Linked DNA regions of Macaca fascicularis. Each later gene encodes a partner of the first gene's protein in a complex. Links are inferred from orthologs where the notes say so. Each region holds a gene or a part of one and is shown on either strand. Other genes may lie near its edges.

What was found.
Region 2: TMEM126B (region 1) and TMEM186 share a complex: the UniProt entries of both Homo sapiens proteins name them as parts of the mitochondrial complex. The link is inferred for Macaca fascicularis from reciprocal best matches to the Homo sapiens genes TMEM126B and TMEM186.

Annotation. Positions count from the first base shown.
Region 1 is NC_088388.1:84,668,483-84,676,577, forward strand, and holds the start of TMEM126B (complex I assembly factor TMEM126B, mitochondrial), read left to right. Parts: upstream 1-2,842; 5' UTR 2,843-2,853; coding exon 2,854-2,934; intron 2,935-3,882; coding exon of another isoform or gene 3,883-3,927; intron 3,928-4,126; exon of another isoform or gene 4,127-4,893; coding exon 4,894-5,082; intron 5,083-5,376; exon of another isoform or gene 5,377-5,548; intron 5,549-5,919; coding exon 5,920-6,041; intron 6,042-7,275; coding exon 7,276-7,469; intron 7,470-7,671; coding exon of another isoform or gene 7,672-7,713; exon of another isoform or gene 7,714-7,858; intron 7,859-8,095. Other genes in the region: DLG2 (disks large homolog 2), read right to left, coding at 854-872. UniProt on the Homo sapiens protein: As part of the MCIA complex, involved in the assembly of the mitochondrial complex I. Participates in constructing the membrane arm of complex I.
Region 2 is NC_088394.1:9,560,318-9,568,365, reverse strand, and holds TMEM186 (transmembrane protein 186), read left to right. Parts: upstream 1-2,766; 5' UTR 2,767-2,791; coding exon 2,792-2,794; exon of another isoform or gene 2,795-3,139; intron 3,140-3,820; coding exon 3,821-4,459; 3' UTR 4,460-5,226; downstream 5,227-8,048. Other genes in the region: PMM2 (phosphomannomutase 2), read right to left, coding at 2,458-2,523. UniProt on the Homo sapiens protein: As part of the MCIA complex, required for efficient assembly of the mitochondrial complex I.

The DNA.
Region 1 (8,095 bases):
CATATAAATTTTGATTCAAAACTCTTGAGAAACTCTTTACAGCTGATCTCACCTGCCATATCATGTCAAAACAAAACAAAACAAAACAAAAACAATCCCAAACTAAGATCCTTTGGAACAATGTTAACTTGGGCTGCATCTAAGCTAAACTGAATCCCCAAGTTCGGATTATAATCAACTATGCTTCAGTAATTCACTAGATCTTGATCAATTCCAATAATAAAAGTTGTTGAGGAGGGAGAAAAAAACAGGAGTTTGACCCATATGGGGAACTTGACAATCATGTTATTGGATAATGCATATATCTGGAAAAGCACAATAGTCATGAAAGTTATGCTTTATCACAAAAGTGAAGATTTACACTAGAATAAATCCAAATAAAAAATTATTTTTAACCAAAAGATAAATTATAAAGCTATAATTTTGTTCAGTGCAAATGAAATTACTTTGCTACCTTTCACAACTCTGTAATTAGCTTGATAAATATTAAACCCATGAGGAAGAGCTCCACTGTACAAGTTTTTTTAAAGACCGCTTAAAAGCAACCTTTAACAAGCTAAGAAAACAAGCTAGAGAAGATTCCAAATCTGCGGTACTGAATCTATTCTTATTACCAATGGTGATATAAACAACCTGATGTATGAAATCGTAAATATCTATCAATAAATACTATAGTCTTACTTCCTTTTACTTTAGCAAGATATTACTGAATTATGTACCACTGAAACTATATTACAATAAAAATTTCCCCCAAACTGAAGCAAAATTTTACTCTCAAATGGAATATAGTTTAAATTACAAGTACCAGAACCAACAAAAGGCAGAAATATTATATAGCAACCTCATAGCCCACCTTTCTTCTTGACTGGCATTCTTAGGTCTTTCCACTGCCACAGAATTCAAGATCTCTTTTCAGGTCTCAGTTTGATCCAGCTGGTTTGAGGCCAAGAGCCAGGTAACTGTTGCAAACCACTTCACTGCTCAGTTTTGAAATCCAGGCTGAGTCTTCTATGTCAGATAAAGAAAGTAATGATGTACTTTTTCCACAACTAAACTTTTTACACCGCCCACAGAGTTTACAGAAACGTAATTTTTTAGTTTTTCAAGTTTTTCAATGTTCAGAAAATATTTAGACTGTTTTTACAAACTGGGAAAATTATTGGAAACATGAAGAACGTTACTGAAATTCCTCTTCAGGCAGCAACATTTTTGGAAGTTCAATGACTAACTCATTTAAGGCACAAACCAAATTTAGACAGCTGTCTCATTACTTTATACATGGTCAAACTGAAACATGATGAAAAAGATCCTCAAATATGTAGAGAAAAATTTAACCCCACCTCCCAAAAAATACTTTTAAAAACCTCTTTGACTCCAGTCTCTAAAAAGATAGGTGAGTTTGAACAGTTTTCTGTGGCAGAACACACACCGAAAGGCCCCCTTCTATTTACTGATCAGAAGTTCCGGATCTCACCCCTTCAGTAACTCAGAATCCAGCTTGCTGTCACTTTCATTTTTTTCTTCTGTGCTCTCCAAGCCCCCAGGCTTGATCCTTAATGCACCTCTGATTCTGATCCTCCCATGTATTAACAGAGAGGATTGAAAAAAAAGGAAAGCAATCCCTTGGCATGGAGACATTAAAGTGACAGTGCTACTCAATGGGCACTTGATGCAGGATGAGTTGGCGAAGCAGATTTCTTCACACTGGAGTCATTCACATCATGCCATCTCTTCGCATCCAAGCAGCTCCCTATCCGGCGAGGAAAAACACTGAGACTTCGAGAGAAGCCAAACCTTCCCCCAAAGGTGTTTTCAGAGACGCCGTAGTAGTATTAGACATGTAAGCATAAGCTATGCAAACGGTCCGCGATTTCCTCAAAATGAAAAAGTGCAGCTGCTTGGCTTTCACATCCACATCCTTTTCTCTCAATCTCTCTTCAAACTACCCACCTTCCTTTTGCAGAAAAGACAAGACATTTCTCTGCCACCGCTGGCCACCCCTGCCCAAGCCCCGTTCTTTTAGGGAAGAGCACTGAAATGTCCTGCACCCTCCACGCGGTGAAGTGTTTCTTCAGGCAGGAGCAACAGCAGCACTAGAAATTATATAACTCTCGAATTTGGCTTCTCTAAGACACGGAGACTGGAGGGTCGGGGGTTGCCGGTCTGGGAGATACTGCTGGGCATTTAACGTGCACAAAACAGCGCCAGGCCTTGCAGTGCCCCCCACCCTGAGACACGACTGACAAGTGGGTCTTCTCGGGGGGTAGTGGGCAAATTTCTCTCCTGTCTCCTTCCAAGCGGGGCTAAAGGATGGAAATTGAGGGGACTACAGACTGGGGAGAGGAGTCAGACGGCTGAGAGGAGAGGAGGCTAGTCGGGGCTGCTCTGACGGCGCTGGGCGGCTGGTTGGGGGTTTGGAGGAGGAGGTGCCCGAGAAACAGAGCTTTAACACCACACGGGCCAGGGCAAAGGGGCGAGTTCCCTCAAGGACTGAAAGGGGCAGGCAGCTAGTTCCCAGCTACCAGAGGTGCCCTGAGGAGAGGCAGGAGCGCAGTAACATTCCAACATTTGGGCCGCCCCATCCTCCCCACAAGACGCGAGGAAAACAGGGAGCTAAACTGACAAATAGCAAGGGAAGGAAATACTCTGCTGGCGATGGGGGCGGACCCACAGGCACCTGGACCTCCTCTAAGCGAATAAGTGGCCGTAATTTCTAGACACCGCGCCCAATCACAGACAGGATGGAGGGCGCGGCTTTTGACTGAGGGGGGCGGGCCCGGGCTGCAAGCGAGAGGCATGAGCCGTAAACCCGCACCACTTCCCGCCCACCAGCAAATCACGTGAGCCATCAAAATGGCGGTGTTCGGGTATGAGGCTGGGGCCAAGCTGAGGGATTCAGGTGTGGTGCCGGTGGTAACTGAGGAAGCGCCCAAGGTAGGCGGAAATCCGAAGTGGTATGGGGGGTGATTTCTGCAGCTTCAAAGTGTTGGCAGAGTCTTCCAAGATGATACACTTAAAGGAGATTTGAAAAGTTAAAACAGCCCCCAAGTCCATGCAAGGAGCAGTCGATTAAGTCTCCAGCTGTTGTGGAAAGAGGCGGAGAGAACGTAGATTACCTAAGTTCTAGTACTCATTATCTGCGGTTTGTTTTCTCTTGTCTCCAGGCCTTTGCACAGGCTTTTTCTTCAACTTGGAATATTTCCCTGCTTCTATCCGTCCCAACTCCCCTGCCAAATTGTTCTCTTTCGGATATTGGTTTAAATGTCACTTCCTCCGGGAAGCCTTCCCACGCCTCCTCTGGCTAGATTAAGTTTGCCTTTTCTTAGGTTGTTGGGTTTTTCGTTTATGTCACTCTCTCATTCTGTGTTTAAATTGCCAGCATTTTTGTTCTGAACTCCCACTACATTGTGGATTCCTGAGGATGGGATGACTGTATCTTGATTACTCGGAGGCCTGGCATATACCAGGTGCTCCCTAAATTATGAGAGAATACTGAATAAAATTCTAAAGTTGAAATTTATTATTAGGTGAAAAATGTATTATTAGGTGAAATAATACACATGAAAGCACTACAAAACCGTCAAATGATTTGCAAACTATAAGCCACTCTTACTGGTATAAGCGTGGTGACTAGTTGAGTGGCCTTAAGAGGGGAGGGGTGTAATGAAAGCAGTCGATTCTTTGACAGTGCCTTGCAAAGCTTAAGCACTCAATAATATTTCCTGTGTTCTTTTCAGTATTTCAGTATTTGCTATCCTGTAATCATAATCCTGGGTGTCTGCTTTCCCTATAGAGAGTTTAGGGTGTAGACTAGGTAGGAGATTAGTAGAAGATATTGCCTGGAAGTTTATTTTGTTTTTTGTTTTTGGTGGAAGGTGGAAGGTGGAGGACTTCAGTGAACTGGATGAGAGCAAAACAAAACTTTATGTAAGGTTTATGGTTACTCATGTTATTGACATCTGCCATCTTAGTACAATAGATGGGTTAGGTATAGAACCTCCCTTAGATGTTACTATCCCTTATACTTTCCATTTGGGTGTCCAGGAGAGGAAAAAGATGTAAGTCTAGTCACTGAAAAATTGTAATTTGTAAAATATTTTACTTTTTTTCCCCCTGCCCTCTCCAGAAATGTTACAGAAAAAGATTGAGTACAATTCTGCGATGATGCAGAGAAAGAAATTGGTCCATTATTACTCGTTGTGTAATGCCATAAGAAGGTTCAAAGGAGCTCATAACTTACGTATGTTGATGCCAGGAGCCGTGTATAATCAACTGGCCCTTCTATAGTTAGGATTGGTACATACCGCTCATTCAGCAAATGAGTATTACGGTAATATTCAATATGTGTCCATTGACTACAGCATCAAAAGCACTTGGTGCTATTAAAATGCAGATTCTAGGCCTCATCCTACTCCTGCTGAATCCAGATATCTCAGGAGGGAGTTCATGAGACTGCATTTCAAATAAATACCCCATGTGATTCTTGTGCATGCTGAAGGTTGAGAACCACTGATTTATGAAGTATTTTGTGTATTCATTATGCTTTATCCCGTCTAATCCTCTTGTCTAGGACTCCTTAACTTTGAGATTTAGTATTTGCCTTCAATATAAACGTTAAAATTGAGATTAGTGTACATTTGTAAAGAGGCTATTTGGCTAATCTGGAGGAAAAAGAGTAAAAAGCAGTGAATTTAGCGGCAATAGACTTTCCACTTGGCTGCTGTAGTAGGTAAACATTTGCAACTACATGTTTGGATTTAACAAATGTTATTAAGATTTTTCACAGAAACTAGAGTCTTGCCCAGAGCAAAACATTCAGAAAGGATCCTGTCTGAGAGTGCAGGGTTTGTTTTCTTGTTGTTGTTGATTTGTTTTGTTTTTTAATCTCTCTAGTTTCTGTTAAGATGCTACTGGCCAAGTCTTCATGGTCCCTTGACATTGGCAGCTGTCTGTTCATCACACTTGGGACACAAGAACCTTCCAACCAAGGAGCCCAGTGCTTTGGGTCTCTGGGGCCCGGCGCGGTGGCTCATGCCTTTAATCCCAGCACTTTGGGAGGCCGAGGCAGGCAGATCACTTGAGGTCAGGAGTTCGAGACCAGCCTGGCTAACATAGTGAAACCCCATCTCTAGTAAAAATACAAAAATTAGCCAGGTGTGGTGGCAGGTGTGGGTCTCTGCTATACTACATAATCATTTCTAGCAAAGGCTCTGCTTCCACCACAGCTGGTAATAGGGAACTGGTTATGTAATTTATGTACTTCAAAGTAGTAGCCACAATCTACTGCCTGTTCCCTTCCTGGAGCAGTGTCCCTCTTTCTGATTTTTCTCTCTCACTGTTCTCCAAGGCAATCCCTGCTCTCTCCTACCTCTCTAGGAAATGAAACACGATTTCCAAAATGAACTCAGTCTTTCATGAGAAACTGAGGATAGAGATGTCAATAAGCAGCCATTGTTTCCACCTCCCCACCTGAAGAGCTAGGAGGACAACTACAAAGGGCCTGACTGCCTTCTCAGAATGAGGAGAGAGGAAAACAGAAACAGTATCAGCATGTTATCCCTCTAAACTAAATCTTAAGCAAGCCAACCTTTCAGACCCTCAGTTTCTCATCTGTATAGAGATAATCATTATACTACCAATTTCTCAAGTTAGTGTGTGAATCAGAAAGCCAATGTCTGTGTGTTGTAGGATGTTTAGCAAGAAAATAAAAAATAATAACAAAAAGCCAATGTCTAACAGATAATAAGAGCTCAGTAAATGTTGATTGAATTATTAACAAAATATGTGAAAGCAGACAACACAGTACCTGGCACACTACTAAACTGTAAATGTTTTCAAATCTGAATCTGTAGAATTCTGTAAGGTTTTATGTAATATGAATATCATTAGCTATTATGGCTCTGGAATTTTTTTTTCCAGGATGTCAAGATGACAGCATCTATGCATGGTCAACCCAGTCCTTCTCTAGAAGATGCAAAACTCAGAAGACCAATGATCATAGAAATCATAGAAAAAAATTTTGACTATCTTAGAAAAGAAATGTAAGAGAAATACCCAGGCTGAAAATCATTTTATTTGCAAGTCTTTTGTATTGCCATTGTTTCTGAGATCCTATTCTTTGTTATCCTATTCTTTGAGTTGGTTATGAAGAACACATCCTTAAAAAAAAGAATGAGGGAAACAAGAACAGATGAAAATAGTGGTTTGTTGGAATATTTGGGATTGTGGATAATTTCTTTTGTTTCTTAAAAAGTATCCAAAAGTATTGCTAAAACATTTGTGCAGTAAATATATTTTAATTAAAAGTAAGAGAAAATCATTGGGGGGGTACTTATATTTAATTGGTGAGTAATTATAATCAGTTAAGGATTGATTATCTCAGCCACAGTACTTAGTACAGCAAAAGGGAATACAGATTTCATAGTATAAATATAGTCTCACATTAACATATTGACTTTTTTTTTTTTTTGAGATAAGAGTCTCACTCTGTCACCCAGGCTGGAGTGCAGTGGCACAATCTCGGCTCACTGTAATCTCCATCTCCCAGATTCAAGTGATTCTCCTGCCTCAGCCTCCCAAGTAGCTGAGATTACAGGCGTGTACCACCACACCCAGCTAATTTTTGTATTTTTAGTAGAGATGGTTTCACCATGTTGGCCAGACTGGCCATTTTGACTTTTAAATGAATGGAGTTCAAGAATAAAACCAAAGGACAGTTGATCTTATTTCCTGGATTTAGGTATGGGTCTTAATAAGAAAACTAGATCAGATTTTTTTGGATGAAATTTTCTAAATCTTGGACAAATTATTTTAAATGTATCTGGGACTAATGCAGAAATAGAAGGCCTAACCAAATGTAAATAGCTTTTTTTTAGCTGAACTTAAGCAAAGTAAATCTTTTAGTTGCAGGAAAGGTATTCTTCGATTTGGGTAACTCATAAAATTTGGCTACATTGGAGCATATTTATATTTATTTGTGACCAAAATTATTTAAAAGAGCTCTATTTTAGAACTACTGTAAATATTATCAGAAAGAGAATCATGTCCTCTCATTGGAATACAAGTTCTATGAGGGGTGGGAAATTTCTTTCCTTTTCTTTTTTTCTTTTGCCTTGTTTACTGCCCTATCTTAAGCACTTAGAAAATACTTTTCACATAGTAAGTGCTCAAGAAGTATTTCATATTGAGTAAATATGCAATAACAACTTTTTAGGAAAGGCTGTATCCATTAAGTTCAATGTTACAGTGAACTGAATTTTTCTTTTTTTCTATTAGGACACCAAATATATATCAAATGACGTCATTTGGAACAACAGCTGGTTTCTCTGGAATATTCTCAAACTTCCTGTTCAGACGCTGCTTCAAGGTTAAACACGATGCTTTGAAAACATATGCATCATTGGCTACACTTCCATTTTTGTCTACTGTAGTTACTTACAAGCTTCTTGTAATTGATCCTTTGTATTCAGGTGAATTTAAATTCACTAATGTATAATGTAGTTTTGTCTAAGTAAAGTTACTGATTAACATATGCTGTTGCTACTGCTAATAATAATTCTTTACATTTATATAGTGCTATACAGTTTGTAAAGTCCCTTCATATACCTTGTCGTATTTAATCCCTGCAACAATCCTCCTAATTAGGTAAATCGTATTTTTTTCTTTTTGTAGATAAGCAAGCAACCCAAACTGAGGCATGTTCAAGTACACTAATAAACAACATACTGGGAAAAGAATTGACTGTGGCATATAACAAACATCATTTCAGTATCCTACCTCCTGCCACTTAAGTTTTGTGACATTCAGCAAGTAATTTCATCTCTGAGCCTCCCTTGTCTTATCTATGAATTAGGGCTAATAGTACTCACCTCACAGGATTTTGTGAGAATTAAAAGATACTGTAGGTTAAATGACTACCACAATATCTGTCATATTATGGGCTTTTAATGTTATTTCCTGCCCTTCACCTTACCTTGAGTTTCACAACTAGTAATTGATAGAGCCTCTATCCATCATTCATTCTTCAGGTCCCTGCTTAAGTATCTTTTCCCCAGGGAGACCTCTGGTTCCCTCATTGTACATTAGGTGTCTAGAT
Region 2 (8,048 bases), on another chromosome or scaffold:
TAGGCGTTAGCTACCGCGCCCGGCTGAATGTCTTTTTTTTGAGACACAGTCTCGCTGTGTCTCCCAGGCTGGAGTGCAGTGGCGCCATCTCCACTCACTGCAAGCTCCGCCCCCCGGGTTCACGTCATTCTCCTGCCTCAGCATCCCGTGTAGCTGGGACTACAGGCTAATTTTTTGTATTTTTAGTAGAGACGGGGTTTCACAGCATGAGCCAGGATGGTCTCGATCTCCTGACCTCGTGATCCGCCCGCGGCCTTCCAAAGTGCTGGGATTACAGGCGTGAGCCACCGCGCCTGGCCCTGAATATCTTTTTTAAAAAGTTACTAGAAATTTAGAAAATACAAAAAACCTTTTAATTCACCGTCAGTATATAAACACTTGGAGTTCAATGATTTTTCTTTAAAAAATTTTTTTAGAGTAACACATGAATCTGATTAAAATAAAACTGCATAGAAGGGCTTGTAATAGAGTGCAATCTTTTCTACTCTCACAGTGGAATTTGAACCTATTAGACAAAATCTAGAACTGCAGGAGTGGCCCTTAAGAGTCAGAACGCAGTGGCTCATGCCTGTAATCCCGGAACTTTGGGAGGCTGAGGCAGGTGGATCACAAAGTCCAGAGATGGAGACCATCCTGGCCAACATGGTGAAACCCTGTCTCTACTAAAAATACAAAAATTAGCCAGGCGTGGTGGCGGGCGCCTTAAGTCCCAGCTACTCAGGTGCCTGAGGCAGGAGAATCGCTTGAACCTGGGAGGCGGAGGTTGCAGTGAACTGAGATTGCACCACTACACTCTAGCCTGGCGACAGAGTGAGACTCTGTCTCAAAAAAAAAAAAAAAAAAGAAGAGTCAGAACTGTGAAAATCAGATCAGAAGCACTTTCCTGAATGGCATACCTAGTAACTAGGACAGCTTCCACCTTAGCACAGATAGGAAATGGCAAACTTGACAGGAACCAATGTCCTGAGGCTCAGGGGCTTGTACCAGGTCGACTGTGTGAAACTGAGGAGGTTAGTTCTTCACTGAGTGTGTTTCCTTATGTTTAAAAAGGTAATAACAACTATCCTACCTGGAAAGAAAGATGAAGGAAGGTTGAGAGGGTCCAGCGAAATCATGAAAAAGGGTTGGCAATGTAAACCCTAGACCGCTATGGCCCACAGACCACACTGGGCAGCTGTTTGTTTCTGTAACAAATAAATACAATTTTACCGGTACACAGCCACTCTGTGTTTACATAGGGTTTATGGCTGGTTTTGTACTAAAGTTCAGTGGCTACTGTAGACCATATGGTCTGCAAAGACAAAAGTATATGCTATATGGCCCTTTACAAAAAATGAATTGGGGACCGGAGTATTAGACCACTATGGGCTTTTAACAACCCCAAGTGTGTGATAGCTGAATTTCAGAATCAGAAAAAGCCTTTGAAGAACTTGGGAGTTGAGTGTCATCACTAGGTAGATCAAAACTGTGGCTGAGAAGGGCAAAATGATACGTCTAAGGTCACACGCATTTGACGTGGCTTTCTGGAGCACACCATAGTTACCACCAAGCGAAGACTACGAGGGGTGAGGATATTAGTTGAGGATAGTGAGACCATTGGGGTCCAGTCTCAAGTTGAAATGGCCGGTTGTCAGTGGCCAATTTCTGAAAAGGGGACAGGAAAGCCTCATCTCAAGGCTGATAGTGACTGAAACTTATCTGTGCCTGTAGCAGCAAAATCTGGAAGTGGAAAGCAAGTTTCCAAAGGCCCAAAGAGGCTCTCAGCGGGCAGCCTGTAATAACCTAGGGCTCCTCCATCTTCCTAGTCCACTGCAGGGGCTGGAGATGGGTGTGGTGGAGGTGGTTACTATTTACTGAGGCCTAGTGTGCTGTGTGCAACATACTTTCAAGAACTTACACAATCTCATTTGATCCTCACAGTCACCATATGGAACACGTAATATCCCCATTTAAAGCTGTAGATGCTGAGGCTCAGAAAGGTTAATGATTTGCTCAAGGTCACACAGCTGTGAAGAGGTGAAGATGAGACTCCACTAGGTCGATTTCACCTGGAAACCTGTTTTTAATATAATGACTCACGGCACAGCCCATTGGTTACAGGATTGAGGCCGGAAAACAGCTGATAAGGGGCACACAGCTGATGTCGGGTTCAAATCCTGGTCCATCGGTCCCGAGGACTAGCGGTGAGTCTAGATTGCATTTTCCAACCAAGCATAAGTTTCCTTCTCTTAAGAGTTCTTCAGCCCCGTCTCATCTTTCCAAGCATCAGAGCTCTTGAAGAGCTGGTTAGGGCCTCCCTCTCATCCCTCCAGGGCACCTAGAATAGGGTCCAGCCCCCGTGAGGACGCAGGCGGTCCTTAGCCAGCCCTTAGCGCCGACCCTGGGTAGTCGATAGCTCCAACTGGGAACAGCACGGACTCTGAGTCGGCTGCCACCAGCCCGCCGGGCGCCACTTACCTGCCGTGGGGCGGTGAGGGTCCCATCCACGTCGAAGAGGCAGAGCGCTGGGCCAGGCGCTGCCATGTCCCCAGCGTCTAACCGCACCTCGCAAGACTCGTTGACATCAGGAACTCGGCCCGGAACTTCCGAGTTCGGCCCCCGAGCCGCAGGGCACGTCGGGAAGAGGAGGAGACTCCGTTCCCACAACGCCTGGGACTAGCGCCAGCCACGATTCCTGGACCGCAAATCCCAGGGTGCAACGCGGATCACGCCCGCCTTGTACATTCGAGCATGCGCTCTTAGAGGTTCCGGGGGCCGGTGGGATTTACTTCCGGCAGCAGGCTGTGGAGCCATGGTAAGGAGGCTGGTGGCGATCCTTGAGGGGGTGATGCTCTTTGGGGGTCGGTCGGGGTCAGAGCTGGGGCAGGCAGGCACGACGCCTGAGTTTCGGACCTGAAGAATCCGTGGGAGGAAGCTCTGGCGTGGGTTACCATTCGCCATTCCCGGGCTTTCTCTGCCCTCCTTGCGTCACGTGCTCACAGTAGTAATAGCTAAAACTCGCCGAGCTCTCACAGCGCATCAGGTACTAAGTTGAGGGCTTTGAAACCATCTTCTCGTTCACTGTGTTCTGAGTCCCCATTTTGAAAGCCGAAGAAACCGAAGCTCAGGGGTGTGGAGTGATTTGCTCAAGAATCCACAGGTAGTGACTGATGGAGCCAGAATTGGAACCAGAGCTTTTACTGCTTCACTACCCACCTAATAATATGTTTGTGCTACGTGTAGGGGCCTCCCTGCCCCGCTCCTCCTCCTCCTCGTTGTTTCCCCTTCCCCTGACTAGGTTAAGGGAAAGCAGCAGTTCCCTCCAGCACCCAAGATAACGTAAACAGAATTAGAAAGTTTGTTGGGATAGCTGTCTCACAGATTTGTTGCTTGAGTTCCCCACTAAGACATTGATTATTCAGTTTCCTGCTTGGGGAAATGTTCACACCCCCTTGTGGATCCATTGTCCAGCCCAGAGTTGGGACTCCCTAGATATGTTTTGAATTATTGATGGCCGCACCTCCTTTCTTGTATTTCTTTGGAATTGCCTGATGGAAGGAGGACTCTGCTGCACTCACTGACTGTGTGTTCTTTGGTAAATATCTTACCCTCTCTGGGCTTAGTTTCCCTAGTGGTAAAGTGGAAATAGTGATAACTATCTTAGATAGCTGTTGTGATGCCCACATGAGATAACATCTGGCTTTACCCTTCCTTCCTCTGGCAATAATGGTGACCTTGCAGGATTGGCAGAAGCCTTCGAGTATGGTGCTTTGCAGATGTTCACCGTGTGATTAATGTGGTTGAATTCCATGAGAGAAATCGTCTACTGTCTCCCTTTCAGGCTGCCCTTCTCCGAGTTGTGCCTAGATTTCGGGGAAAAGCTGCGTGGGAAAGGCCTCTCCATGGGCTGTGGTGCTGCAGTGGGCAGGAGGATCCTAAGAGGTGGGTGGGGAGCAGGTCACCCACCTCGAAGGAGAAACCACCAAACCAAGAGACTGAGAAATTCTGGATGTTTTACCGTTTTGATGCCATCAGAATCTTTGGGTTCCTGTCTCGACTGAAGTTGGCACAGACTGCCCTGACAGTGGTAGTTTTGCCACCAGCCTGTTACTGGTATTCCCAGGGCCTCCTGACTCTCAACACCGTGTGCCTGATGAGTGGGATATCGGGCTTTGCCCTGACCATGCTTTGCTGGATGAGCTATTTCTTTCGGAGACTGGTTGGTATCCTGTATCTGAATGAGTCTGGCACCATGCTGCGGGTGGCCCATCTGAGCTTCTGGGGCTGGCGGCAGGACACATACTGTCCCCTGGCAGATGTGATTCCCCTGACAGAAACCAAGGACCAGCCTCAGGAGATGTTCATGCGTATCCAGCGGTACAGCGGGAAACAGACCTTCTACGTCACCCTGCGCTATGGACACATCCTGGACAGAGAGCGTTTCACGCAGGTGTTTGGGAGACATCAGATGTTCAAGTAAACAACTGGGGCCTGGGCCTCTGGGTAACCCTGGGTCACCTGGATTGATAGGAAGGCTGAGGGTGTGGGCACAGCTGAAGAAAGGGGATTGGGTACTTGGAGACTTTGCCTGGGCCCCTGGGAACGTGTGTTTTGTGATGAAGAAATTCACAAGGCAAGAGCTGGTGTCCAGATTTAGGAAAAAGGCTCTAAGCAAGTTCTTACAGCACTCGTTTGTGACATTCAGTCAGATAATGGCCAGAAGTTTTTGTTAAGAGCCAGTTCTTAGAAGAACCTATGCCAGGGTCACCCAGACAGTCCATTGGTGTGAAATTGAAAGGCAAAGAGGTGTGGTGGGGGAGCATAGGATTTGGAGTCAGAAGTCTCAGTTCTGTCACTTGTCCTGGGGTGGGTTATTGAGTCTCTTTGAACCGTGGTTTTCACATCTGTAAAATGGAAAGCCCTGCTTGTTTCATGGGATGGATGTGGGAATAAATGTCAAACGTGTGGCAGACTCAGCAGCCTAGAGCAGATAGCATTAAGCATTTGGTCAGAGGTTTTGGCATGGAGAAAGGCTTCGAGCAGTCAGCAGGGACTTCCAGAGCCCTGTGCTGTGCCCCTCACACATCCAGCAGCAGAAAGGTCTGCCAGGATGTTAACTACACATCGATGAGCAGCGATGTCATCCAAGTGAGCACGAAACCCCATTTGAGATTTGTTCACCACCCTGAGATCTAGAGGCTCTTGCTTTGGATGGCCCTGCAGTGTAATAAAGCCTAATGGACTGTATGCTGGTATGTTCTTTTATAAACTAAAGCCAGTTATATGCATTGCCTTGCATAATTAATAATACATGTTCGTTATGCAATTGGTAACACAGTAAAGAGGAAGGAAGGCATGATGATCTTTATTATTTTGCCACTCGAAAGTCAATAAGAATGTTTTATTGCCGGGCGCGGTGGCTCACACCTGTAATCCCAGCACTTTGGGAGGCTGAGGCGGGTGGATCACAAGGTCAGGAGATCGAGACCATCCTGGCTAATGGTGAAACCCCGTCTCCACTAAAAAATACACAAAAAAATTAGCCGAGTGTAGTGGCAGGCACCTGTAGTCCCAGCTACTCGGGAGGCTGAGGCCGGAGAATGGCATGAACCTGGGAGGCGGAGCTTGCAATGAGCCGAGATCGCGCCACTGCACTCCATCCTGGGCGACAGAGCGAGACTCCCTCTCAAAACAAAACAAAACAAAAAATAATAATGTTTTATTGTGTAGCCTTCCATTTTTCTTTTTTTTTTTTTTTTTTTTGTGAATTTGTTTTTATTGGGGAACAGGGCACAGGGTGGAAGATGTCACCTTGGGCTATGGTGTGTCCCACCTCCCAGAGAATGTCAATTTGCATTCTAATCTTCCTGGGATGCTTTATGGAACTTTTTCTTCTTCTTGGAGCTGCTCTTGCCAGCTGCCTCTTCAGGCCCACTGCTGACTGGCTCCTCTTTGGAGAATTTCCTCTTTTTCTTGGAGCCACGCCTTCCATTTTTCTTAACCGTACCAAGATACACCTAACAAATTTATCCTTTTACTCATATTTAAGAGTGTAATTCAGGGACATTAAGTATATTAACAGTGTTGTACAGGCTGGGCGCAGTGCCTCACGCCTGTAATGCCAGCACTTTGGGAGGCTGAGGCGTGTGGATCACTTGAAGTCAAGAGTTCAAGACCAGTCCGGCCAACATGGCGAAACCCTGTCTCTACTAAAAGTACAAAAATTACCTGGGCATGGTGGTGGGCACTTGTATTCCCAGCGACTAGAGAAGCTTGAACCCGGGAGGCAGAGGTTGCAGTGAGCTGAGATCACGCCACTGCATTCCAGCCTGGGCGACAGAGCAAGACTATCTCAAAAACAAACAGAACAGAACATGTTGTACAACCGTCACCACCATCCATTTCCAGAATGTTGTCATTAACCCAAATAGAACTAAGATACCTATTGAACAATAATTTCCTTCTTTTTCCAGCCCTTGGCCACCACTAATCTGCTTTGTGTCCCTCTGGATCCGCCTATTCTGGATATTTCATATAAATGGAATCATATAATATGTGACCTTTTGTATCTGGCCTTTTTTTTGAGATGGAATCTCCCTATGTTTCCCAGACTCGAGAGCGGTGGCGCAATCTCTGCTCACTGCAACCTCCGCCTCCCCGGTTCAAATGATTGTCCTGCCTCAGCCTCCCAAGTAGCTGGGATTATAAGTGCCTGACACCACGCCTGGCTAATTTTTGTATTTTTAGTAGAGATGGGGGTTTCACCATGTTGGCCAGGCTGGTCTCAAATTCCTGACCTCAAGTGATCCCACCCACCTCGGCCTCCCACAGTGCTGGGATTATAGGCGTGAGCCAGCACAGCTGGCCTGTATCTGGCTTCTTTGACTTGGTGTAGTGTTTTCAAGGTGCATCCATGTTGTAGCACGTATCAGTACTATTTCTTTTTTATGGTTAAATACATTTATGGGTGCAGTGTATATTGTCTGTATATACCACATTTTGTTTGTCCATTCATCTGTTGGACGTTTGAGTTGTCGTCACCTTTTGACTGTTAATGAATGAACATTTGGCTATTGCTATGAACACTGGTATACAAGTATCTGTTCGAGTCCCTGCTTTCAGTTGTTTTGGGTACGTACTGAGAAGTGGATTTACTGGATCCTGTGGTAATTCTGTTTATTTTTGAGGACCTGCCACTTTTCCACAGCGGCTGTACCATTTTATACGCTCACCAGCAATGGACAAGGGTTCCTGTTTCTCAACATTCTTGTCAACAGTGGTTATTTTTCCTTTTTTTTTTTTAATTTGAGATGGAGTCTCGCTCTGTCACCTAGGCTGGGTTGCAGTGGTGCGATCTTGGCTTACTGCAGACTCCGCCTCTCAGGTTCAAGCGATTCTCCTGCGTCAGCCTCCCGAGTAGCTGGGATTACAGACACCCACCACCACACCCAGCTAATTTTTCTCTTTTTAGTAGAGACGTGGTTTTGCCATGTTGGCCAGTCTGGTCCCGAACTCCTGAACTCAAGGGATCCACCTTCCTCGGCCTCCTAAAGTGCTGGGATTACAGGTATGAGCCACCGTGCCCGGCCCTTCACTTCGATGCTTCTATCCTGTGCTTCCATCCTTGCTTTACTGGAGTCCATTTTCGCAGCTGTCAAAGTGATGCTTAAAAACAGAATCACATCACTCTGCTGTGAAGGCTGATGGCCTAATCCACCCTCCCCTTTCCTCCCTCATCCGCAACTCTGTGGAGATCATTCCCCCAGGTCACGATGGCCTTGCTCTTCTCCAGTCATCAAGAATATTCCAGCCTTAAGGCCTTTGCATTGATAGTTTCCTCTGCCTGGAAGGCTTTCTCCCTAGATACCTGCAAAGAGAACTAACCGCCTCCCCTTCAGTGTCCTGTCTGTATAATGGAGTTTCACTATTTATGCTCAAGAAGTGTAGTGAATATTCAATTATATAGAAGAGAAATGTGCATAGCAGTTACACGTGGCTATTCATTCCTTCTGTACCTTGCCTTCACCTGCCTATCAGTTCTTCAGTGATTGTGACTCCCTTCCCCATGA